Linked DNA regions of Pelodiscus sinensis. The protein of the gene in region 2 purifies or fractionates together with the protein of the main gene of each other region. This does not show direct contact. Links are inferred from orthologs where the notes say so. Each region holds a gene or a part of one and is shown on either strand. Other genes may lie near its edges.

Region 1 (7,602 bases), on a different chromosome or scaffold from region 2:
CGCCGCTTTGCTCAGCGTCTCTCTGGTCTGCAGACCAGGGAGACGCTGAACAAAGCCGCGCAGGACCCGGAGCCGGACCCCGGCGCTTCCAGCTGATCTGGAAGCGCCGCGGGTCTGGCCCCGGGTCCTGCGCCGCTTTGCTCAGCGTCTCTCTGGTCTGCAGACCAGGGAGACGCTGAGCAAAGCCGCGCAGGACCCGGCCGGACCCACGGCGCTTCCAGCTGATCTGGAAGCGGCCGCGGGTCCGGCCCCGGGTCCTCCGCCGCTTTGCTCAGCGTCTCCCTGGTCTGCTGGGGTGGACGCAGCTAGTGCCCCCCTCAGCAGACCAGGGAGATGTGGAGCAAAGCCCGGGGCCTGTGGTAGAGCAGGTGGGGCGCTGCCGGTTGGTCCCACAGCACCGCTCCTTGGCGCTACTGGACCAACCTGGCAGCACCCCAGCTACTCTGCCCCAGGAGTCCTGATTCAGCCGCTGCTGATCAGTTTCAGCAGTGGCTGAATCAGGACACCTGGGGCAGAGCAGCTGGGGTGCTGCTGGGTTGCTCCAGTAGCGCCAAGGAGCAGCCGCACTACTGGACCAACCCAGCAGCACCTGAGCTGCTCTGCCCCAGGCGTCCCCAAATTAGCCGCTGCTGAAACTGACCAGCGGCTGACTACAGGAAGCCCGAGGCAGAATTGCTCCGCCCCGGGCTTCCTGGAATCAGCTGCTGATCAGTTTCAGCAGCAGCTGACTTGGGGACGCCTGGGGTTCTTAAGTTGAATCTGTATGTAAGTCAGAACTGGTGTCCAGATTCAGCGGCTGAATCTGGATGCCAGTTCCGACTTACATACAGATTCAACTTAAGAACAAACCTACAGTCCCTATCTTGTACGTAACCCGGGGACTGCCTGTACACGTTTAATCAAGAAGGGGAGCCACTTTGCAGAGCTGCAACGTGGGTGGCTCCCAGACCCAGTGCAAGCTGGAACTGAGCAGTCCCAGCTCGCGCTGGCTCTGGGACTGCTGCACCTCTGCATTTTAAATGTAGTAAGAGTCCAGCAGCTCTTACTACATTTAAAGTGCAGAGGCACAGTAGTCCCAAACTGGTGCAAGCTAGGACTGCTTGGTCTCAGCTTGCACGGGGTCCAGCAGCCCGTTTGCGGTAGTCCAGACTGGCCATGGACAGGAGCTGCTGCCAGAGCAGCCGGGGCCACTGTGGGCAGAGGCTACTTCGTGGTAGCCTCCCCTATTGCCCCCTCCACCACCCTGCCTCTGATAGAGGCAGGGGCAGGCGACACTGCAGAGACAGTTCTGGGGGGAACTAGCTCCCCACAGCCCCCATTTCCCCCAGCCTTGCTGCCTCTTATACAGAGGCAGCAAGGTGAGACAGCAAGGGCGGAGGGAAGCGAGTAGTCAACTACCCAACTTGACTACTCACTTATATCCCTATCACAAAACAGATTCAACAGCTGGTTAGGGAGTTCCCTCCAATAAGGGAACACCTATACACAGCTGGGGATCTGGCCAGACTGCGCTGTACTTTGATAATTCTTGGACTAGCCCTGTGTAAGCACCATGTGTAATTTAAAGCAGGCTCGAGGATCCTCTAAAACAGGCTGAGGGCCAGAAGGGCAACTAGCAGCCCTGGGGATCAGGGGAACACAAAGGTGGCTCAAAGTATTTGCATTACCCTGATCCCAAAAGCACCAAGGATCAGTCTGCCATAGCTGGGAAACTGAAGCCTGATGTTATTCTGATATCTCACTGATTACACTATATCCAAATGTAGAGGTTTCCAGTTCACAAGGTTTTTATTATTAACAATATATGGTTGCAACATAGAAGTACCAGGTGGGTAAAATACTCCAGCCCCCACCAATTACCAGTTAACTGAAGCCTTTCCTGTTAAGAGTGACGGTTACCAGTTAATCTTTCACATCCTTAGTTTGAGGCCCAAGATTCCCACAACAGCAACCTAAGTCAACAGACTATCCATGCCTACATTCACCACTGCAGTCAATAACCACGATCAATCACATTAACTGGCTGCTTCAGTTAAAACATTAAATAATTAAGATTGGCATTTAAAAGGCAATTATTTGACTGTAAAGTCATATTATCATATTGAGATGGATAGGAGAGTTCATAATTCACACAACTGCTGTTTTAAGCTATCTGCAGTTTCAGTAAGACAACAATTAAGTTTACCCTCAAATCATATCTGGAATGTTTTTGCCTCTCACAATCAGAAAAGTTAAAAACTTAATTACTGGCTGTTACTGACAGCTTAGTTTCTAGCTGTACAGTTTTGCAGCAAAATTTGATAGAATTGTACAATTTAAGTGATTGTGACTCGGAATGATGAGAGGCAGGTATTTAATCGAAGAGCAAATATAATTTTTACTTACTACTCAATTAGGCGATAGGCAGCCCAGCTCAATCCCAGCTCGCACTGGGTGAAGGACCAAACCTAACTTTGGCTCTGCAACTTAAAAGACAATAGGAGCTAGGGGGCTTCGGCAAGTAAATACACTCCTGAACCCTTAATGTATATATCATATACAGCTCTCTACACACATAAGCAGTAGGGAAAGGCTGCACAGGGCAAAAGCTCCAGGACCTTCACGATTTGGAAATCTTTTACTGCAACAGTGAAATACTCCCAACATTTGGGAGACAATGCTTGTCACACTAATGTTAAATATGGCCCACCTCAGGCCACTGAGGACAGAGACTGCTCTGGCACCAGCTGGCTGTGGACGGGGGATGCTGCTTGAGCAGACCCTGCCCGCTGCTAGCCCTGGCCGCCATGAACAGGGGTTGCTTGGCGGCAACAGCCCCTGTCGGGGGGGGGGGGGGGGAGGAAGGAGTCCAGCACTTCACAGCAGCATCCCTTAACCCCCTGCTGCCTCAGAGAGAGGCAGCAGAGGCAGGCTGCACCCAGGAGATGGTACTTCACTGGTTCCCCTCAGCACTGGCTCCTGCTTCCCACCCTTGCTGCCTCTTTCTGAAAAAGGCAGCAGGGGGAGGTAGGGAGCAACTAGTTGACTAGTCAGTTGCATCCCTTCTTTGCTCTATGCAGAACATGTTCTTACTTGGACTTCTGCTTTTACAGAAAAAATAATCATCTCTAGATTCCAGTTTTCTCTCTCATTTTGCACTTAAGAGCCAAATTTAATAAATTAAATGACCCTTTGATCAACATGGTTAGTTATATTTTAGGGCAGAGTTTTCAATTTTTTCCCCTTCTATTATCCTACATTCTCAAATCCATTAAAGCAACATTAGAAAAGTCAGAAAGGTACAAAAGAGCTATAGCTCTCCCAGGCTGCTGCTGAAAAGGGAAAACTTCACTTATGCTCATCCTCCAAAGTGTCAGTGTATTTTCAGAGACCATTCAACAAGTCAGGCAACAACTGCTTTGGTCTGACACACCCTGTGCCTACAAGGCACAGCCATCATAAAGATCTTGCAAAGAATGCTTACACAAGCAACTATAGACTGAACCTCTCTATTCTGGCAGCCCGCAACCTAACTAGAGCCAAACCAGAGAATTTGCAGAGCCACAGGAGGTAAATATTGTGTAGCAGCATTACCAACACTTCCACTGCTTACTGGGCTCTTAGGGTATGTTTACACTGCATTCCTCTGTCCAGAGAGGAATGCAAATGCAGCTGAGCAAAATTGCAAATGAAGCATGGATTTGAATTTCCCATGCTTCATTTGCATAATCGCATCAGGCTGCTTTTTTGAAATAGCTTTTTTTTAAAATAAGGTGTCTAGATGTGATTATTTCAAAAGGAAACCCTTCTTTCGAAATTACCATTAAACCGCCTTTTAAGGAATATATATTATGCATTGTTCTCTTAAAACCCACATTATTTTCAAGAAAAAGCAACTACTCGTGTGTTATCAAGAATCTAACAGAAAATATCGTTTAAGCACATTTATCCCTTTAAAAAAGAAAGGGCGGCAAGATCTACCTGCTGCAGACTAGCGAGTATAACCGAATACTCAGCTACACATCACGTGCTCGCGAGAGTTCTCCCGCCCTTCACCTATTTGGGTCGCTGAATGACGTCACAGGCGCGATGGCGTCACTCAGCAAGCCAGGCATTGGTGACCGAAATGAAGCATAATGGGGGGGGGGGGGAGGGCAACCACGAGACTGAGTCTCCAGCGTGGTTACTGGAACAGGGGGGCCAGGAGCGCGGGGGCCTCTGAGCAAGCGCCACAAACCAGCCGCGAGCTCCTGGGGTCGGAGCCCCTCACAGATCAGGGAAAAGGAGGGGGAAGGGGAAGGGGCTCAGCGCCGCACAACCGGCACCTTCGCGCTTACCATAGCTCCCCGCTTCTAGACACATCACACTTCCGGGAACGAGGGGGGCAGAACCGGAAGAGGCGTTACCTAATTTTCTTCTGGTTGGTCGGGGAAGTGCCGGCTCGTGACTGACAGGCGTCAGCGGAGCCTCTGCGAGTGCTGATTGGGGGCGGCGGCCAGAGGGCTGGGGGGGTGCATAACTGTACCGGCGCGCGGCAGCTGGCGGCTTTGATTGGCTGCAGCAACTCACACTCCCCCGCCCCCACCGCGGGAAGGCGGAAACGGGATCGCACAGTGGGAGCGAGGTACAGGGGGGCTGTCGGGCGCTCCCACAAGGCGCGGGCCTCCTCTTGCCTGTGCCCTGGCAGCAGACTCCCTGCGTCCGCGCTGCCGCCTTGCTGGGGCGGGCGGGGTCGTGTAACTGAGGCGGGAAAGGGGCAGGAGCCTGCCAAGGGCTGTCGGGTGGGGCGGTGGCCTCCTTCCCCTCCACCAGAGATAGGGGCGGGGAAATTTCCGTTGGTGGGAGCAGAAACGGAGGGGAACGTCCGAGGCCTCGCCCTTCTCGCCCCGTCTCCGCGGGTATAGGAGCAGTAGCATGGGGGCAATCCCAGAAGCAGTGCTTGGGTCGCGGGGCAGCGGCTGGGTCTCTCTGCTTCCCTTCCCCGCCTCCCCTTCCTCCGTACACTGACCTCTAGCAGGCGCCTGTGTAATTTTTCAAGCCCTTCTGGACTTGTCTATACTGGGAACTTGCATGGGCATCCTTCAGTGCTGTGAAATATCCACATCCTTCAATAACGTTGCCAGGCCAACCTGATCCGTGGTGTACACAGTGCGAGGTTGATGAAATAATTACTTTGCCAGTCTGGAAGGTGGCTTTACTACTACAGCAATGGGAGAACTGTCAACATAAATAATGTCTACATAGACTGAAACTACGACTATAAAGGCAATGCAATTTTTAGAAGCTGCTGTATTAGGTTTCTAAATTCTGTGTTAGCTCTCCACCCTGCACTCCCCCCCTCCCCCCCAACAGGGCATAGCTAGTTGGTTGGTAGTCTTGCTTACTTCATTGGGTCATATGCCTACTTTTACATTGACCCTATGAGTACGCTTTGTATATATGAATGAAACTTGGCCTCCTTTTGCCCTCTTAGGATAAAAAGTGCTGGATGAAAAATGAATCTCCCCTTTTGATTGTCACTGAGTACCTGTAAATGAAGAATTCTTGCTGTTGATTTCTGGGCATGTTGTTTTTAAAGTTGGCAAACAAAGATTCATATGCTTCAGAGGGGTAGCTGTGTTAGTCTGTAAGAGGAAAAATGTAAACAACAAATAGTCTGGTAGCACTTTAAAGACTAACAAAACATTTAGATGGTATCAGATTCATCTGTACAGATAGATGCAGGTCTTTACTGGCAAACAGTATTCCATTTCATTTAACTTCTGTAAACTACCCTTTTTATGGAATATTTGTCATCTGTAGAAATATCTCACCACCTCCCATTCACTTAATAAATATATTTTTGTCTTACATGTAAGGGCCTATCATTGCTCATCTTGTCACTTCCCTTCTAAGTGACCAAACTATGGATATGAAATATAAAAACTGTAATTGGATATTGTGATTAAAACCCCACCTGTCTAGTTGAAATGACAGTGGTAGCTCTAATACATTTTTGTGAGCATTTCTGTTTTAAAGGGCACATCTGATTTTTCCCTTGACTTGTTCTGTAACTCATGATAGAACGGCTTGTTATCCTATAGCAGTCAAGGTAATCTTTAAAGAGTTAGTTTATCCCATTTTGGCACCATGCCATGATACTTAAAACATTTTCCAGTGTTTGGTTACTCCTTGTTGTGTAAAGTGCGTAAAGTTTAATCATTTCATTCTAAGCATCTATTAGAAATGTGGAACTGCAGTGATGCGGTAATATCTTATTTAGTGAAGTATGATGAATCAAATAAAAAAAACATTGTTTTAAATGAAGCACCCCATTTCAAAAAAAGAACATCTTAACAATTGGTTTGGTTTTGCAGGTAAATTCAGAATGATCCTCACTGTTTACTCCTGGAAGCATATAAGACAACAGAGTAGACTTAAAAAGAAGCAGATTCATCTATCAGTCTCCTCAGCTTAGATTTTATTGCAGCTCCTGTGTGCTAATTCACTTCATTATCCTCCTTTCCTTTATGGAAATGCTACCTTGGTGGGAGCTTTAAATTTATGTGACAGACTTGGTGTGGCTAAGTTGGAAATGCTTGAATAAAGGTAATACTTATGTGTCAGAGCTATAACCCCTTTTCTCATACTTAGCTACTAAAAGGCACAAATTAATTGAAACCTTTGTAGTTTTTTAATTGTCCAGTGTGGTGATTTAGGTTATTGGCTCACTGAAGTCATTACATGCATCAGGGGGCCTGTTAGAGCTATGAAATCCATAGTGATGCTTTCATCTGACAGCTGATTTTGAAGGAGGTCTATATCTCTACCTCCATAGTCTTTGCAGTAGATAGGATTTAATTTGTGGGATCACTGTGGTGAAATAGATGTAGCCTTGTTATTTTGTGAGCAGTTAGCTTTGATCTTCTGAGAAATTTCAGTAAGACAACACTATATGTGAGAATGTAAAATTTCAGTGGAAGAGTGTGACTATTATTTTTGTGCTAAGGACTAGAGATGTAAGAGATTAGTCAACTATCCAATAATCAGAAGCTTAGCGGATAGTTGACTAGTCATGCGACTAGTCGCTTCTCCCCCTCCTCCCCCCTCGCTGCCTCTATCAGATAGAGGCAGCAAGAGGGAGAGGAGCAGGAGCTGGTGCTAGGGAGAGCCGGCTTAAAAGCTGGTTCCCCCTAGCACCGTCTCTGTGGTGGGCAGGGGAGATAGCGGCACAACAGGAAATGCCACGAGCGGGGACTGAAGCAGTCTCTGCTTGCCGCACTTCTGCTGCTATTCTACTTTTGAAATTTCAAAAGCAGAAGCCCCGCAGAGAGCATGGGGCTTCTGCTTTTGAACTGTAGCAAGAGCCTGATAGGGCTCTTGCTTCAGTGCAAAGGCACCCTTATAGACTAATTGAATAGTCAGTGGAAATCCCATCAATTGTTCAGTTTAGTTAATTAATCTAAATTTAACATCCCTGCTAAGGACTGTCACCACTGATCTGTTTTCTGAAAGGTTACTGAATAGCTGAATGTCATTTTCCCATTTCCAAGTTTGATGGTGTTTAACTTTAAAGGTACCAGTTCAAGAGCAATAGATTTGATTTGGGGACTCTCTTTTTAAGGTTCATACGTCAAGTGTTGG
Region 2 (8,054 bases):
GTGCAGCGTAACAGGCTGGCAGGCGAGGGGGGGGGGTTAATCAGTGTTGTACATGAAGATGGGGTATGCCTCAGTTTCCCCTGTGCAGCGTAACAGGCTGGCAGGCGAGGGGGGGGGGGTTAATCAGTGTTGTACATGAAGATGGGGTATGCCTCAGTTTCCCCTGTGCAGCGTAACAGGCTGGCAGGCGGGGGGGGGGGGTAATCAGTGTTGTACATGAAGATGGGGTATGCCTCAGTTTCCCCTGTGCAGCGTAACAGGCTGGCAGGCGGGGGGGGGGGTAATCAGTGTTGTACATGAAGATGGGGTATGCCTCAGTTTCCCCTGTGCAGCGTAACAGGCTGGCAGGCGGGGGGGGGGGAGGGAGTGACCCCACCCAGCAGCAAGAAGCATCCCCAGAGCCTGAGGGTATCGCACCCATGAGGGGCCTGCAAAGTGGTGGGAACCAGGCTGGACCCCAAGGGAGAGCGGCCTCTGGCCACGGAGCCCCCTCCCTCCGCGGAGCCACACCCCCTTCTGCCCGCTCACCTCCCACGTAGAGACTGTTCTTCAGCGTCACTGCCACGGCGCCGTTCTCCTGGGGGGTGGGAGGGGTCAGACATGGGGGGAGGAGCTGGCCAAGGCCCCGCCTCCTCCCTCTGCTCGCCCCGCCCCCAACCTGGTACCTTCTCACATAGATGCTCCCACATGCCCAGCAGGGGTTTGCGGTAGAGCCCAGAGCCAGTCGCCACCAACACCTGGGGGGCAGAACGCGGGGGGGGGGGGGGTCACTCCTGGGACAGGCATGGGCATCCCCACAACAGGAGGCACCTCCTGAGACGGGGGCTCTAAGTAGGGCCAGGGACACCTCCCCCCCCCAGCTCCCCTACCTGCATGGGAACCCCCAGTTGCTCCAACACGGCCTCTGCCTTGGCCTTGAAGGCCTCAGGGCGCAGGCGGCCCTTGCTGATCCCCAGCTGGTTGGTGAAGATCACAATCTGGAGGGGGAAGATACATGAGGTCAGGGACCGGGGGGCGGGACAGGGCAGGGATGGGGGGGGGGGGGAGAACAAACCTTATATCCCTCACTCTGTAGCTTCCTCAGCTTCTTGGCAACCTCGGGGTACAAAATCCTGAGAATGAAACACGGGTTACTTCCAAAACAGCCCCCCGATTCCCCGCCCGCACCCCCTGCCCCCCAGCCCTGCCGGCGCCCCTCCCTCCCCACCCGCAGCCCCTGCCCCCCAGCCCTGCCGGCGCCCCTCCCTCCCCACCCGCAGCCCCTGCCCCCCAGCCCTACCAGCGCCCCTCCCTCCCCACCCGCAGCCCCTGCCCCCCAGCCCTGCCAGCGCCCCTCCCTCCCCACCCGCAGCCCCTGCCCCCCATGCCTGGGCTCCCCCCGCCCTGCAGCCGCCATGCTGTTGGAGGTCCCCACTCTTGACCCCTGCTAACCGGCCCGGGCTCTGTGCTCACCTCCAATCATCAGGGCTTGTGGCAAAAACCTTCCCAGACTTGGTCGTGATGATGGTTCCATCCAGGTCAAACCCAGCAACCTATGGAAGCGAGGCACCCCCCTGGTAGAGCAATGGATTCATCCACCCCCATCACATCAATGGTCCCACCCAGCGCCTCTGCCCCGCCAAAGAACAGTACGTGGATCCACCCCCCCAGCAATGGATCCATCCACCACCCGTCCTCACAGCCATGGACCCACCTGCCTCCCCCACTACAGCAATGGACCAATCTGCTTCCCCCCCCCCATCAGAATAAATGGACCCTTCCAGTGCCCACACTCAATAGACACCCCTCCCCATCAGACCCATGGAACCTCCCCACTCTGGGCCCAGCTGCCCCCCCTTCCCCCCCAGCAGGGCAGGCAGTTCCCCAGGCTAACTCCTACCTTGGTGCTGGGCACCACCCCCTGCTTGGTGAAGACCAGCAGCTTGCCATGCTCGTGCCAGGAGTCCCTGGGGTGAGGGGGCTGCTCCGAGGCCTCCCCCTGGGGCGGAGCTGGGGGCCTGGCCTTTGCCTGCTCCGCGCTGGCTGCCGTCTCCTGCAGCTGGCGCAGCTTTGCGACCACGGCAGGGTCCTCTTCTTCCTCTCCCTCCTCCTCGGTGGAGCTGGAGGTCTTTGGCCTCTTAGAGGCTGGCCCCTCGCCACCCCCGGCCAGGCTCCGGCGGGGGGCGGGCAGGAAGTGCAGCGTGTAGGGGTAGCGCCCGTTGACCAGCCACAGCGTCTGCCCCTCCTGCAGCGTGCTGCTGTCACCGGGCTGCAGCTGCAGCTCCTCCACCGATGTGGGGTTCACGCCCCGCTGCAAAACAGGGGGACTGAGCGCAGGAACAGCCCCCCCCTTTGCCGGGCAATGGCCCCTCCTCTTTTCCATCAGTGTGCGGAATACGTTCTGTTCCACGCACCGAGGTGCGTGCAGAGGGGCACCACCAGGAGAAGGCACTTTGCTACCAGCTAGGCGGTGCCCGAATCTCTCTTGGGCAGCTGCCCAAGCACCAAGCTTACAGGAAACGCTGCCTCGGGGGCTGTACCGCAGAACCGGGGGACGGGGCCCCATATAACCAGTCCTCGCGCCGCTCCCCAGGGCTTGGAGCCCCATATAACCGCCCGCCACCAACCTGCCCCTCACCTGGGTGACTCTCACAGCCTGGTGCTTGTAGTCAGCCAGTAACTCCACTGCAAGAGAGGGGGGGGGATATGAGTGAATGGAAAACTGGAACCCCCCCAATCCGCACACTCGGATGCCTCCCCTTCAATCCCCCCCCCCCTCCACAGCCAGGGACCTAGATAGGGCCCTATCCTGGCACAGGGCCTTGAGCCTGGACTGAGGGGGGGGGGGCGGCTTGCAGAGCCCCGGTACCCACCTTGCTTCCGGGAGCATTTCTTATCCGCCACGCGGGTGCGAGGCCCCCTGCCCAGCACCACGGGGACCCCGTCGGGCAGGGCCACGGGGTCGTGCTGCCCATCCTGGCTCACCAGCAAGCACTCCATGGCGCGGCCCTGGGCACGGGACACGCGGGGCAGGTCAGGGGCCAATGCCACCCTGAGCCCCCCCTCCCCCGGGCCGTGCCCTGAGCCCCCCATTGCCCCCCCCAGGCTCCGAGCCCCCCCATCGCCCCCCCAGGCCGTGCCCTGAGCCCCCCATTGCCCCCCACCCCCCCAGGCCCCGAGCCCCCCCATCGCCCCCCCAGGCCGTGCCCTGAGCCCCCCATTGCCCCCCACCCCCCCCCCAGGCCCCGAGCCCCCCCATCGCCCCCCCATGCCGTGCCCTGAGCCCCCCATTGCCCCCCCCAGGCCGTGCCCTGAGCCCCCCATTGCCCCCTACCCCCCCAGGCCCCGAGCCCCCCCCATCGCCCCCCCAGGCCCTGAGCCCCCCCATTTCTCCCCCCGCCCGGGCCGTGCCTTGAGCCCCCCCCCATCGCCCCCCGGTGTCCCCCCCTTTCCCGCCCCCCGGAAGTGGGCTCGCAGGCACGTGGGGGGCCGGACCCCGTTTCCGGGGGCACCTCGGCAGGGGGAGGGGCCGGTGCGGGGCCCCGGGCCGGTCACTGCGTCAAAGACACGCCGGGAACTTCCGCGGGAGGCGGCACTTCCGGCGGGGGAGCGGCCGCCCGGCGCCTTGCGCGCGGGTTCCGGGGAACTTTGGGTCCTAGGCGGGGCCGGGGGCGGGGCCGTCTCGCCACGTGACCCCCCCCCCCACCACCACCTGGCCCGGGCCCCATTGACTGAGGATAGAGCCCTGTGGGGCCTCGGGGGGGGGGGGTTAGTCTCAGGTTTGGGGGTTGCGGGTCGAAGGGGTCGGAGGGTGCAGGTTTGGGGGTGCAGTTTGGGGGGCTGGGAGGTTCTGGGTTTGGGGGTTGCGGGTCGAAGGGGGTGGGGATCGGAGGGTGCAGGTTTGGGGGTGCAGTTTGGGGGGCTGGGAGGTTCTGGGTTTGGGGGTTGCGGGTCGAAGGGGGTGGGGGTCGGAGGGTGCAGGTTTGGGGGTGCAGTTTGGGGGGCTGGGAGGTTCTGGGTTTGGGGGTTGCGGGTCGAAGGGGGTGGGGGTCGGAGGGTGCAGGTTTGGGGGTGCAGTTTGGGGGGCTGGGAGGTTCTGGGTTTGGGGGTTGCGGGTCGAAGGGGGTGGGGATCAGAGGGTGCAGGCTTCGCATTCCAGGTTTTGGGGTGCCATTCAGGGGACTCTGACTTGGCTGAGCAGGTATTGGGGGTTGCAGCTCGGAGAGCTGGATGTTTTTGGGTTGCAATACTGCGGAGACCCACTGGCTCCTCCCTGGCATTTTACCTAGTGAGGTGCAGTGAGCTGGGAGGGCAACACAGTGCAGCCTCCCGCCTCCAGGGTGAGTAGGAGGTGGCGGGTGATGTAGCCCCTGGTACTACCCGTCAAGGGGGCAGAGCAGGAGCAGGGCTTGGGGAAGGGGCTTGGGGGGCAAGGAGCCCCCCTAGGGATAGCCCTGGATGTGCTGAACCCCGTGGACAGAGCATCCGGCAGTGAGTGACCGGGGCACAGTAGAAATAAGGGGGACTCGGAAGAGCCAGGCGCGCTAAAGGCCAGTGAGGGGCGGTTCTAGGACGCAGAGGGGCCTACGGCTTAACCCCAAAGCATGTGGGTCCCCGAGAAGGGTGACATCCCAAGGGACATGGAGCCAGAGGGTAACCCCCAGGAGGGGCCGTGACCTCTCAGAGGCTGGCCCACTGAAGGGGTTCTCCCTGGGAATCGTGGGGAGCAGAGGGGGGCGCCCATGGAGCTGAGGGCGCAACATGACCCCCCGGTTTAGGGGCGGGTCTAGGGGTGCACTATCGAGGGGGGTGGCTTGGGGGGTCGTGGGTCGGGAGGCAGGTCTAGGGGTGCCAGCTGGTGTCAGTCCTAGAGACACTTCCCCCCTCCCATGTGTATTCAGACTCCTGGGTTCTGGCCTCATGGCTTGGGGGGAGGGGGAGAACCTGTCTCCTAAGCTGCTCTGTTGTGTGGCGAGTGGAGCCCTGTCGGGAGAGGGGACCACCAATCCCCTGCCCCATTCAACCTGCACTGGGGCCCCTTCCCCACATCCAGCACTTCTCCCTCCCTGGGCCCCAGGCTCCTCCACAGCCCCTTGGTGCAGCCCCTGCATCCCTCCACGGAGTGCCGTGCATCCCACTGCTGACACCACTATGCCGAGGTGTCGGGATCCCCCGACACTGCAGCCCCGAACAGACTCCGCCAGCTGGTAGAATGGGGGAGGGGGGTTATTGCTTCTCCAGGATACAGCACAGCCCAGCCGTGATGTGGCTACAGGAGTCCGCGGAGCCAGGATGCCTCAGCCCCCTTGAGATGGGGTCCCTAGGCCCCTCGATTCCAGCCCCCCCCTTCATGGTTCCAGCCCAAGACTGACCCTTCCCCCAACACTCACTTCCTTAGTTCCCTGGCTGCCCCAACTGGTCTGACCGGTTGGGTCTTTGTCTACCTGACTTAGGCAGCCCCCCTGCTGGGCCGTGCTCACAGGCAGGGGCCAGTAGAGGTCCCCCCCCAGCCCACAGCCCAGGCACAGCAGCCAGCAAGGTCCTGACACCACATCACCACGCGTGGGGGAGTCAGTGGGAATCGCACCTCCCAGCACAGGGGGACCCCGGGATACAGAGCAGACAGCCCCCCCCCCCACTGCGCCACACCCCGCATTGGGACAAAGTGGGGATTTTTGTAGGATTTTAGCTGGATAGTGTCCGTGCCTCAGTTTCCCTGTGCACTGAGTGTGTAATGAGGGGGCGGGGGAGGGTTTGCTGTTGCACAGGACCAGGGGTGACCTCACGTAGCAGCAGGGACCCCGAAACTCCAGCCTGCAGTGGGGGACCCAGTGACCGAGAGGCCCAGCCTAGCTCAGGTGGCACAGCCAGGTCTGGCCAGTGTGAGGCCAGAGGGAAGAGAGCCCCCCCCTCGCCCCCGCACTCTGCCCAGTTGGTCCCAGTAGGGTGGGGGCGGGCACAGGAGGGAGGAGGAGGAGGTGAATCGGAGAAGGGCCCAGGGACCTAGTTACCAGGTCAGACAAAGCGGGGGGAGCTCTGCTAGAAGCCATGGGGGGGGGGGGGCGGAGGCTGGGCTGTGGGAGGGGAGGGGAGGGCTGCAGGACAGAGGGAGCCGCGCTGGGCCAAGGGGGCCAGGCCCAGGGCTGGGGGAGGTTCCTGCACTGGGGCCAGACGCCCACTGACCCCCCTGCCTGACCTGCCGGGCGCGGGGCTCCAGGGCCAGAGCCAGGGGTCCCTGAGGGGCAGGCAGAGCCAGGCCTGCAGGGGCTGAGAACGGGGGGGGGGGTGCCAGGAGGGGCTGCCCCCCCGGAGGAGCCCCAAGAAGGGGCTGTCGCACTGAAGGGGGCCCCCCCAAGGACTGTTCAGGTCACAACCAGTGAGCCCCAACTCAGGCCCCCCCAGCCCCAGCCTGCCCCCCAGCGCCCCCCCCCGGCCCGGCTCTCACTTCCACAAGGATCAGTTTTTATTAATAAAACAACAAATTCAGGTAACATGAAGTAAGACGTTCAGACACCCCCCCCCCCCCCCCCAAAATCTGTAGCATCCAGGCATCGTGATTCACACAGCAGGGAGCTCTTGGGCTGCAGCCCTCAAGGACAGTCCATGGGGCCCGGGCGCCGGGGTCGCAGCCGGAGGGTGGGGTGAGTCCGTGGGGCCCGGGCGCCGGGGTCGCAGCCGGAGGGTGGGGTGAGTCCATGGGGCCCGGGCGCCGGGGTCGCAGCCGGAGGGTGGGGTGAGTCCGTGGGGCCCGGGCCCCGGGGTCGCAGCCGGAGGGTGGGGTGAGTCCGTGGGGCCCGGGCCCCCGAGGTCGCAGCCAGAGGGTGGGGTGAGTCCGTGGGGCCCGGGCCCCCGAGGTCGCAGCCGGAGGGTGGGGTGAGTCCGTGGGGCCCGGGCCCCCGAGGTCGCAGCCAGAGGGTGGGGTGAGTCCGTGGGGCCCGGGCCCCCGAGGTCGCAGCCGGAGGGTGGGGTGAGTCCGTGGGGCCCGGGCCCCCGAGGTCGCAGCCGGAGGGTGGGGTGAGTCCGTGGGGCCCGGGCCCCCGAGGTCGCAGCCGGAGGGTGGGGTGAGTCCGTGGGGCCCGGGCCCTGAGGTCGCAGCCGGAGGGTGGGGTGAGTCCGTGGGGCCCGGGCCCCCGAGGTCGCAGCCGGAGGGTGGGGTGAGTCCGTGGGGCCCGGGCACCTGGGATCGCAGCCGGAGGGTGGGGTGAGTCCGTGGGGCCCGGGCGCCCGGGGTCGCAGCCGGAGGGTGGGGTGAGTCCGTGGGGCCCGGGCCCCCGAGGTCGCAGCCGGAGGGTGGGGTGAGTCTGTGGGGCCCGGGCACCTGGGATCGCAGCCGGAGGGTGGGGTGAGTCCGTGGGGCCCGGGCGCCCGGGGTCGCAGCCGGAGGGTGGGGTGAGTCCGTGGGGCCCGGGCGCCCGGGGTCGCAGCCGGAGGGTGGGGTGAGTCCGTGGGGCCCGGGCCCCCGAGGTCGCAGCCAGAGGGTGGGGTGAGTCCGTGGGGCCCGGGCCCCCGAGGTCGCAGCCGGAGGGTGGGGTGAGTCCGTGGGGCCCGGGCCCCCGAGGTCGCAGCCAGAGGGTGGGGTGAGTCCGTGGGGCCCGGGCCCCCGAGGTCGCAGCCGGAGGGTGGGGTGAGTCCGTGGGGCCCGGGCCCCCGAGGTCGCAGCCGGAGGGTGGGGTGAGTCCGTGGGGCCCGGGCCCCCGAGGTCGCAGCCGGAGGGTGGGGTGAGTCCGTGGGGCCCGGGCCCTGAGGTCGCAGCCGGAGGGTGGGGTGAGTCCGTGGGGCCCGGGCCCTGGGGTTGCAGCTGGAGGGTGGGGTGAGTCCGTGGGGCCCGGGCGCCCGGGGTCGCAGCCGGAGGGTGGGGTGAGACCGTGGGGCCCGGGCCCCCGGGGTCGCAGCCGGAGGGTGGGGTGAGTCCGTGGGGCCCGGGCCCCGGGGTCGCAGCTGGAGGGTGGGGTGAGTCCGTGGGGCCCGGGCCCCCGGGGTCGCAGCCGGAGGGTGGGGTGAGTCCGTGGGGCCCGGGCCCCGGGGTCGCAGCTGGAGGGTGGGGTGAGTCCGTGGGGCCCGGGCCCCCGGGGTCG
Region 3 (7,556 bases), on a different chromosome or scaffold from region 2:
ATTTCTTTGGTGATGGATTGGGGGCAGCTGGTAGCTCCTTCTTGGGAGTGGTTATCTGCCCACTGGGGGAGAGCTTGGCTTGGACTGTTGCTTTTTTCTTAGGTGTGTTTGCAGCCTTGGAAGTAGCCTCTGTGGAACACAGTAAGAGGTAAAGCATCTGCATAAGTGATCTAAGACAACCTGTAAACCCTCAACAACAAAATCAGGTAAGTAACTTACAATACTTTGAAATAAGCAACTTTTGTCAGAACTTACAAATAGCCAACACACGGAGAGAGGGGATAGGTAGTTTTATTTGTAAAATGTCTACTAGGAGCTCAGTAATGAGCCCCAGCTCAAACAGCAAAATAGAGCTGACCAGGGCTCCTAGTGACTTGCACTTACAGCCTACTCCATTAGCCTTGACACTAATTGATAGGGTTTTTTCCTCTCACCTCCATTTCTTCCCTCTTTTTCGGCTTTATATTTCAAAATCTATGCCCTTTGCTCCATGATATGTCACCTGAAGAAGTGGGTCGTGCCCATGAAAGTTCACGATACTATTTATATATTTGTTAGTCTCCAAGGTGCCACAGAACCGTTGTTGGTATTTAAGTTTCATTAGAGAGTAGGGCTTCCTCCCTCCAGCCTTCCAGTGCTTGCATTCTGAGAGCATGTCTTAATTGCAGAGTTCACTCAGGCATTGGTTTAGATGTTGCCTCTAGCCCCCTCCCATCTGCACATAAAACACTCTCATGATCTTATTTTAAGCCTGGGTTTAGTTAGCCCAGCTGAGGGGATAGGCTAGACCAGGGGTGGGCAAAAGGGCCTCCTTAGGCCAGATCTGGCCGATGGAGGCCCTGCTGCTCTCCTGTCCCCAGGCCAATGAGGGCCTGGGGAGCATGCAAAGCCTCCTCCTGTCATGCCAGGAGCAAATGGTGCTTTGAAGCAAGATGGGGGCAGAGCGGAGGAGGCTTCATGTACTCTCCCACCCCCAGGCTCTATTAGGCCTAGGGGCAGGGGAACGTGGGAAGTCTCCTCCCATGCCAGGGGCATGAGCTACCTAGGGGCAATGTGGGGTAGCAAAGGCAGTTCCTCACCCCCAGACCAATCATTGTCTGGGGGCAGGGAACTTGGAAGTATCTTGGCCCCATCCCTTCCTGTGTGACATTTCTGAAGTGGCTCCTGACAAAAAAATTATTGCCCACCCTTGGGCTAGATCCTGGGTGCTACTTTCACTCCCGCTGGTAAAATATTTAAAATCTCCATACATTTTAAATATTTTACCAGCGGGAGTGAAAGTAGCACCCAGGATCTAGCCCAAGGGTGGGCAATAATTTTTTGTCAGGGGTTCTCTGATGATGACCTCTCAGGTGTGTATCAGAGAACCCCTGACAAAAAATTATTGCCCACCCTTGGGCTAGATCCTGGGTGCTACTTTCACTCCCGCTGGTAAAATATTTAAAATGTATGGAGATTTTAAATATTTTACCAGTGGGAGTGAAAGTAGCACCCAGGATCTAGCCCAAGGGTGGGCAATAATTTTTTGTCAGGGGTTCTCTGATACACACCTGAGAGGTCATCAAGTCCAATCCCCTGCTTTCGCAGCAGGACCAAGTACCATCCCTGACAGATTTATCCCAGATCCCTAAATGGCCCCCTCAAGTAGTGAACTCACAATACTCAAACCACTGAGCTATTCCTCCACCTAGTTTTCAGTAAGGATGCAGGCTAAGCTACTTCAGGCAGGGACTCTCTATTCTTTGCTGTTCCATGAAGCGACAATAATAAATCATGTGCATGCCGATAGTCCTGCAATGCCTTCTTACAGTTCCTTCCCATTGCATTCAAGGACAGACAAGTTCTCTCAACTCACTGGGGCTGTGTCCAGACTACAGCTGCGTTCTTTCGAAATTAAATCGAAAGAACGCGGCTTTTCTTTAGACGGCGGTAAACCTAATTTCACGAAGAAGAATGCCTTTTTTCGAAAGAGCTCTTTCGAAAAAAGGCGTTCTTGAATGCAAACAGGGCGTTTTTGAAAGAGAGCATCCAGACTGCCTGGGTGCTTTCTTTCGAAAAAGCAGCTTGCTTTTTCGAAAGGACTGGCTGCAGTCTAGACGCTCTTTTTCGAAAGAGGTTTTTTTAGAAAGATACTTCCGAAAAAGCCTCTTTCGAAAGAGGCTGGCAGTCTAGACATAGCCTGGGAAAGACTCATAGCAGTTTTTGGGATGCAGAGAAAAAGACAACTGCACTCATCACAAACCACTGCAATGCCCTGTGTGCAATGCCTCTATGGAGTAGAAATCACTGACGCCACATTTCCTACTGTTACAGCTGATAAAGGTGCAAGGCACAGTGGGTCTCCCTCTAGTGTCTCACCTGCGATGTGCTGGCTTATCATCTGTTTCTCTTCATCTTGGAGCATTTCCCAGCCCTCCAAGTCCGTGATGTCCTCAATCTTCTTCGTCGTGGCCCGAGCCCGCTCTAGTTTCTCGAAGACGCACTTGACGTGGTACCACTCCTTCATGTCGCCCCCCGACTCCGAGAAGGGGTTGGGCACCACCTTGCCGATGCGCACCATGCCCTTCAGGAGCTTCTCCTTGCACTTCCTGCAGCCGGCGGTGCCGCGCTTGGCGTAGTCCACGCAGAACCTCTGCTCCGCCATGACCGCGGGGGCCGCGCAGAGCCGGCGGGGCCAGAGGGGCGCGGCTGAGGGAAGAGCCCGGTGGCGGCTGGCGGGAAGGGGCTGACCCAGGAGCGCGCTGCCCGCGCGCAGGCAGAGCCCGGCCCGTCGGCTCAGCGCCCGGGCGGCCGGCGGGAGGAGGCGCTGGAGGGCAGCGGGCATGCGGCGCGCGGCCCTCGGGGACAAGGCCCAGCGCGGAGCCCTCAGAGCCGCGTTACACCGCGGGGGAGGGGCGGGGCGGGCCGGGGGCGCCCCTCAGAGCCTCGCGGCTGTGCCAGCGGGAGGGGGCAGGGCTGGGCAAGGAAGGGAGTCCTCGCTGCGGGCTCGGAGAGCGACCGGCCTAGGCCAAAGCCGCGTGCGCCGCGTCCCCTTTAAATCCGGGACTCGCGGCCGGGGCGGGGCCTAGGATATGGCGCATGCGCACGGGCTCGTGAGCCACGGCGGCTGGGCCGGTAGCAGGGCCCCGCCCCTCGGGCCCCGTAGCGTGGTGGGCCGCGCCTCGCACGGAACAGAGACCCCGCCCCTCAGCAACTGCCTTCCCAGAGACCCCGCTGAGAAAACCCCGCCCCTCACGAGCCCCGCCTGTCACCACAGACCCAGGCTAACCTCGTTCCCCTCACCACAAGCCCCGCCCCTAACAACAACGCCCACCCCCTCCCAACAAGCCCTGCCCCTCACCTAGTCACCCTGACAACAACCACGCCCATCTCTAGTGACCCTGCCTCCTCCAGGCAACCCCCCATCTCTTCACAACCCCTCCCTTGAAAGTAACCTCATCCCCTCAGCACAGACCCTGCCCCTCACAGCAAACCCCTCCCCTCAGCACAGACCCTGCCCCTCACAGCAAACCCCTCCCTCAGCACAGACCCTGCCCCTCACAGCAAACCCCTCCCCTCAGCACAGTCCCTGCCCCTCACAGCAAACCCCTCCCCTCAGCACAGACCCTGCCCCTCACAGCAAACCCCTCCCCTCAGCACAGACCCTGCCCCTCACAGCAAACCCCTCCCCTCAGCACAGACACTGCCCCTCACAGCAAACCCCTCCCCTCAGCACAGACCCTGCCCCTCACAGCAAACCCCTCCCCTCAGCACAGTCCCTGCCCCTCACAGCAAACCCCTCCCCTCAGCACAGACCCTGCCCCTCACAGCAAACCCCTCCCCTCAGCACAGTCCCTGCCCCTCACAGCAAACCCCTCCCCTCAGCACAGACCCTGCCCCTCACAGCAAACCCCTCCCCTCAGCACAGTCCCTGCCCCTCACAGCAAACCCCTCCCTCACCACAGACCCTGCCCCTCACAGCAAACCCCTCCCTCACCACAGACCCTGCCCCCAGACCCTGCCCCCATAGAGACCCCCCCTCAGCATCATACACCTGGCCCCTCACCACAGACCCTGCCCCCATAGAGACCCCCCCCTCAGCATCATACACCTGGCCCCTCACCACAGACCCTGCCCCCATAGAGACCCCCCCTCAGCATCATACACCTGGCCCCTCACCACAGACCCTGCCCCCATAGAGACCCCCCCCTCAGCACAGACCCTGCCCCCATAGAGACCCCCCCTCAGCATCATACACCTGGCCCCTCAGCACAGACCCCATCTTCCTTATAGCATGAAACCTCCCCCTCTTCACCAGAAGCCCTAGTCCCTCATTCATATGTAACCCCTTTTTCCTCCCTGGGATACTTGGGAGCAGGTCACAGCACAGGGCCTGATGGGCTTGACATAAAAGGAGATCCTGAGTACCCCAGTGGTGATGTTGTTTGGTTGGGGAAAACCTCTCCACCCCCTTGCTGCTGTCCCTTGCTCATAAAGAATGTACAATGGTGGTGCCTCCACCTGGCTGGCCCTGTACACACGGGTGTGCCTTGGAAGCCTCTAGGAATAAACTTATTCCAGCAATAAACTGGATCTAACTCCCGAACAACAATTACAAATCATAAATAATATACATCTAATAGATTGCATTAGAATGAACAACCTTTACTTAACTTAAAGAAACAGGATTTAACAAATTAACAGTGAATAACATTAATTAACAAAGTACACAAAAGTAAAATGAACTTATCTAGCTACCAATATTTATCCCACCCCAGTGTGCACACCCCTGGACTCAGAGTCCCAAATTCTTGCTTGCATGGGCGCGCTTGAAGAACTGCAGCTATAATGGAGATTCTCTGTAGGTAGTGTGTATGTGGGTCCAAACTATGCCGCAGCTCTGGTTCACTGGGTTGGCCTCTCTCCTTCTCTTTGAACCCAGAGTTAGTCTGAATCTCTGAGGTCTGTCCCAGGCAGCATTTTCCCAAAGATGCCCAGTTACTCACAGTCTCCTTTTATGTGCTGGATGCAGAGTAGCTGCTAGACACAAGTACAGCCAAAGGACCTCCTCTCTTGGGCAATCAAAAGCAGCCTGCTAGATCCCAGTTCCAAAGGCTTGCTGTCCCAGTCTGTAACTGCAACATAACAGCTCCTGAACTGTATCAAACTCCCTGGCTCCCTTTCTGGTCCAAAAACAGAGGGGCTGTGCCTACATTAGCATCCCTTTTCCGGAAAAGGGTGCCAATGAGACAAGTCGGCATTGCAAATGCCGCGGGGGATTTAAATATCCCCCGCGGCATTTGCATGAACATGGCTGCCGCTTTTTTCTGGCTCGGGGCTTTGCCAGAAAAAAGCGCCAGTCTAGACGAGATCTTTCGGAAAATAAAGCCTTTTCTGGAAGATCCCTTATTCCTGATTTTAAGAGGAATAAGGGATCTTCCAGAAAACGCTTTATTTTCCGAAAGATCCCGTCTAGACTGGCGCTTTTCTCTGGCAAAGCCCCGAGCCGGAAAAAAGCGGCAGCCATGTTCATGCAAATGCTGCAGGGGATATTTAAATCCCCTGCGGCATTTGCAATTCCGACTTGTCTCATTGGCACCCTTTTCCGGAAAAGGGATGCTAATGTAGACACAGCCAGGGAGTCCACAGACTGCTGAGTCTTTCTCCACACACATGGAGAGACTCAGCTCTCCCCATCAAGAGTCCTTCCTTCCTGTTTTTCCCCAGGGCTCATGGGAATTGTAGTCTGTGAGGTTAGATTGCCACACACAGGGTCTTCCCAGAAAATAAGCAGAAGCACCTTTAGTAAGGTGACTACACATAGATTCCAGCCCAGAGCAGTCCATTGTGATCATTGAGTCTGGTCTCCTAGTACAGGCCAAAGACTTGCCCCAAAATAATTCCCAGAGCAAATCCTATAGAATCCTGATTTAAAAAAAGGGTCAGTAATGAGACTCTACCATGATACTTGGTAAATTGTTCTAACAGCTAATTATTCTTACTGGGAAAAAAATGCCTTATTTCATATCTGATTTTGTCTACCTTCAGCCTCCAGCCACTGGTTCATATTAGACCTTTCTCTACTAGACTGAAAAGCCCCATTATCAAATCTATATTCCCCACATAGGTACTTACAGACTGTGATCAAGTCACACTTCAGCCGTTTCTTTGTTAAGCTAAACAGATTCAGCTCTTTGAGTCTATCAGCATAAAGCAGATTTTCTAAACCTTTAATCGCTCTTGTGGCTTTTCTCTAAACCCAGCCCTCTCCAATTTATCAACTTTCATCTTGAATTGTGGGCACCGGCACCGGGCATGGTTTTGCAGCACCAGTGCCAAATACAGAGGTTGAAATAACCTCTCCCTTCTTTCTTGAGATGCCCCTATGTATGCATCCCAGAATCTCATTAGCTCTTTTGGCTACAGCATCAAACTGGGAGCTCATGTTCAGCTGATTATCAACCATGACCTTATCATAGAATCATAGAGCCATAGAGCTGGAAGAGACCTCAGGAGGCCATCGAGTCCAGCCCCCTGCTCTAGGCAGGACCAATCCCAACTAAATTAACCCTGCCAGGGCTTTGTCAAGCTGAGACTTAAACACCTCTAGGGATGGAGACTCCACTACTTCCCTAGGTAACCCATTCCAGTGCTTTACTACCTTCCTAGTGAAATAGTTTTTCCTAATATCCAACCTGGACCTTTCCCACCACAACTTGAGACCATTGCTCCTTGTTCTGCCATCTGTCACTACTGTGAACAGCCTTTCTCCAGCCTCTTTGAAACCTCCCTTCAGGAAGTTGAAGGCTGCTATCAAATCCCCCCTCACTCTTCGCTTCTGTAGACTAAACAGACCCAACTCCCTCAGCCTCTCCTCATAAGTCATATGCTCCAGCCCTCTAATCATTTTGGTTGCCCTCCGCTGGACCTTCTCCAATGCGTCCACATCCTTTTTGTAGTGGGGGGCCAGAACTTGGCTACAAGGGCACACTGTTGACTCATATCCAGCATCTCATCCACTGTAACCCCAAAGTCCTCTTCTGCAGAACTACTACTTAACTGGTTGGTCCCCAGCTTGTAACTATGCTTGGGATTCTTCCATCCCAAGTGCAGGACTCTGCATTTGTCCTTGTTGAACCTCATCAGATTTCTTGTGGCCCAAACCTCCAATTTGTCTAAGTCACTCTGGACCCTATTTCTGCTCTCAAACGTATCTACTTCTCCCCGTAGCTTAGTGTCATCCTCAAACTTGCTGAGGGTGCAATCCATCCCCTCATCCAGGTAATTAATAAAGATATTGAACAAAACCGGTCCTAGAACTGAACCTTGGGGCACTCCGCTAGAAACCGACCGCCATCCTGACATCGAGCCATTGATCACTACCTGCTGGGCCCGGCCTTCTAGCCATCTTTCTTCTAGCCATCTTACTGTCCATTTATCCAATCCACATTCCCTTAACTTGCTGGGAAGAATATTGTGGGAGACCGTATCAAAAGCCTTGCTAAAGTCAAGGTATATAACATCCACTGACTTTCCCACGGCCACAGAGCCAGTTACCTCATCATAGAAGCTAATCA

What was found. Proteins that work in one complex are often made in the same cells at the same time.
Region 1: the proteins of PNKP (region 2) and XRCC4 purify together in Homo sapiens (co-immunoprecipitation; 5 studies listed by BioGRID and IntAct, counting the BioPlex papers as one, with this or other methods). This does not show direct contact. The link is inferred for Pelodiscus sinensis from reciprocal best matches to the Homo sapiens genes PNKP and XRCC4.
Region 3: the proteins of PNKP (region 2) and LIG3 purify together in Homo sapiens (co-immunoprecipitation; 5 studies listed by BioGRID and IntAct, with this or other methods). This does not show direct contact. The link is inferred for Pelodiscus sinensis from reciprocal best matches to the Homo sapiens genes PNKP and LIG3.

Annotation. Positions count from the first base shown.
Region 1 is NC_134716.1:79,416,258-79,423,859, reverse strand, and holds the start of XRCC4 (DNA repair protein XRCC4), read left to right. Parts: upstream 1-4,456; 5' UTR 4,457-4,603; intron 4,604-7,602. Other genes in the region: TMEM167A (protein kish-A), read right to left, coding at 4,317-4,319.
Region 2 is NW_027465870.1:138,439-146,492, reverse strand, and holds the start of PNKP (bifunctional polynucleotide phosphatase/kinase), read right to left. Parts: upstream 3,094-8,054; 5' UTR 3,073-3,093; coding exon 2,853-3,072; intron 2,665-2,852; coding exon 2,618-2,664; intron 2,291-2,617; coding exon 1,880-2,290; intron 1,533-1,879; coding exon 1,453-1,532; intron 1,113-1,452; coding exon 1,055-1,112; intron 978-1,054; coding exon 870-977; intron 738-869; coding exon 666-737; intron 578-665; coding exon 529-577; intron 1-528. UniProt on the Homo sapiens protein: Plays a key role in the repair of DNA damage, functioning as part of both the non-homologous end-joining (NHEJ) and base excision repair (BER) pathways.
Region 3 is NC_134731.1:17,267,933-17,275,488, forward strand, and holds the start of LIG3 (DNA ligase 3), read right to left. Parts: upstream 3,147-7,556; 5' UTR 2,825-3,146; coding exon 2,359-2,824; intron 130-2,358; coding exon 1-129. UniProt on the Homo sapiens protein: Isoform 3 functions as a heterodimer with DNA-repair protein XRCC1 in the nucleus and can correct defective DNA strand-break repair and sister chromatid exchange following treatment with ionizing radiation and alkylating agents.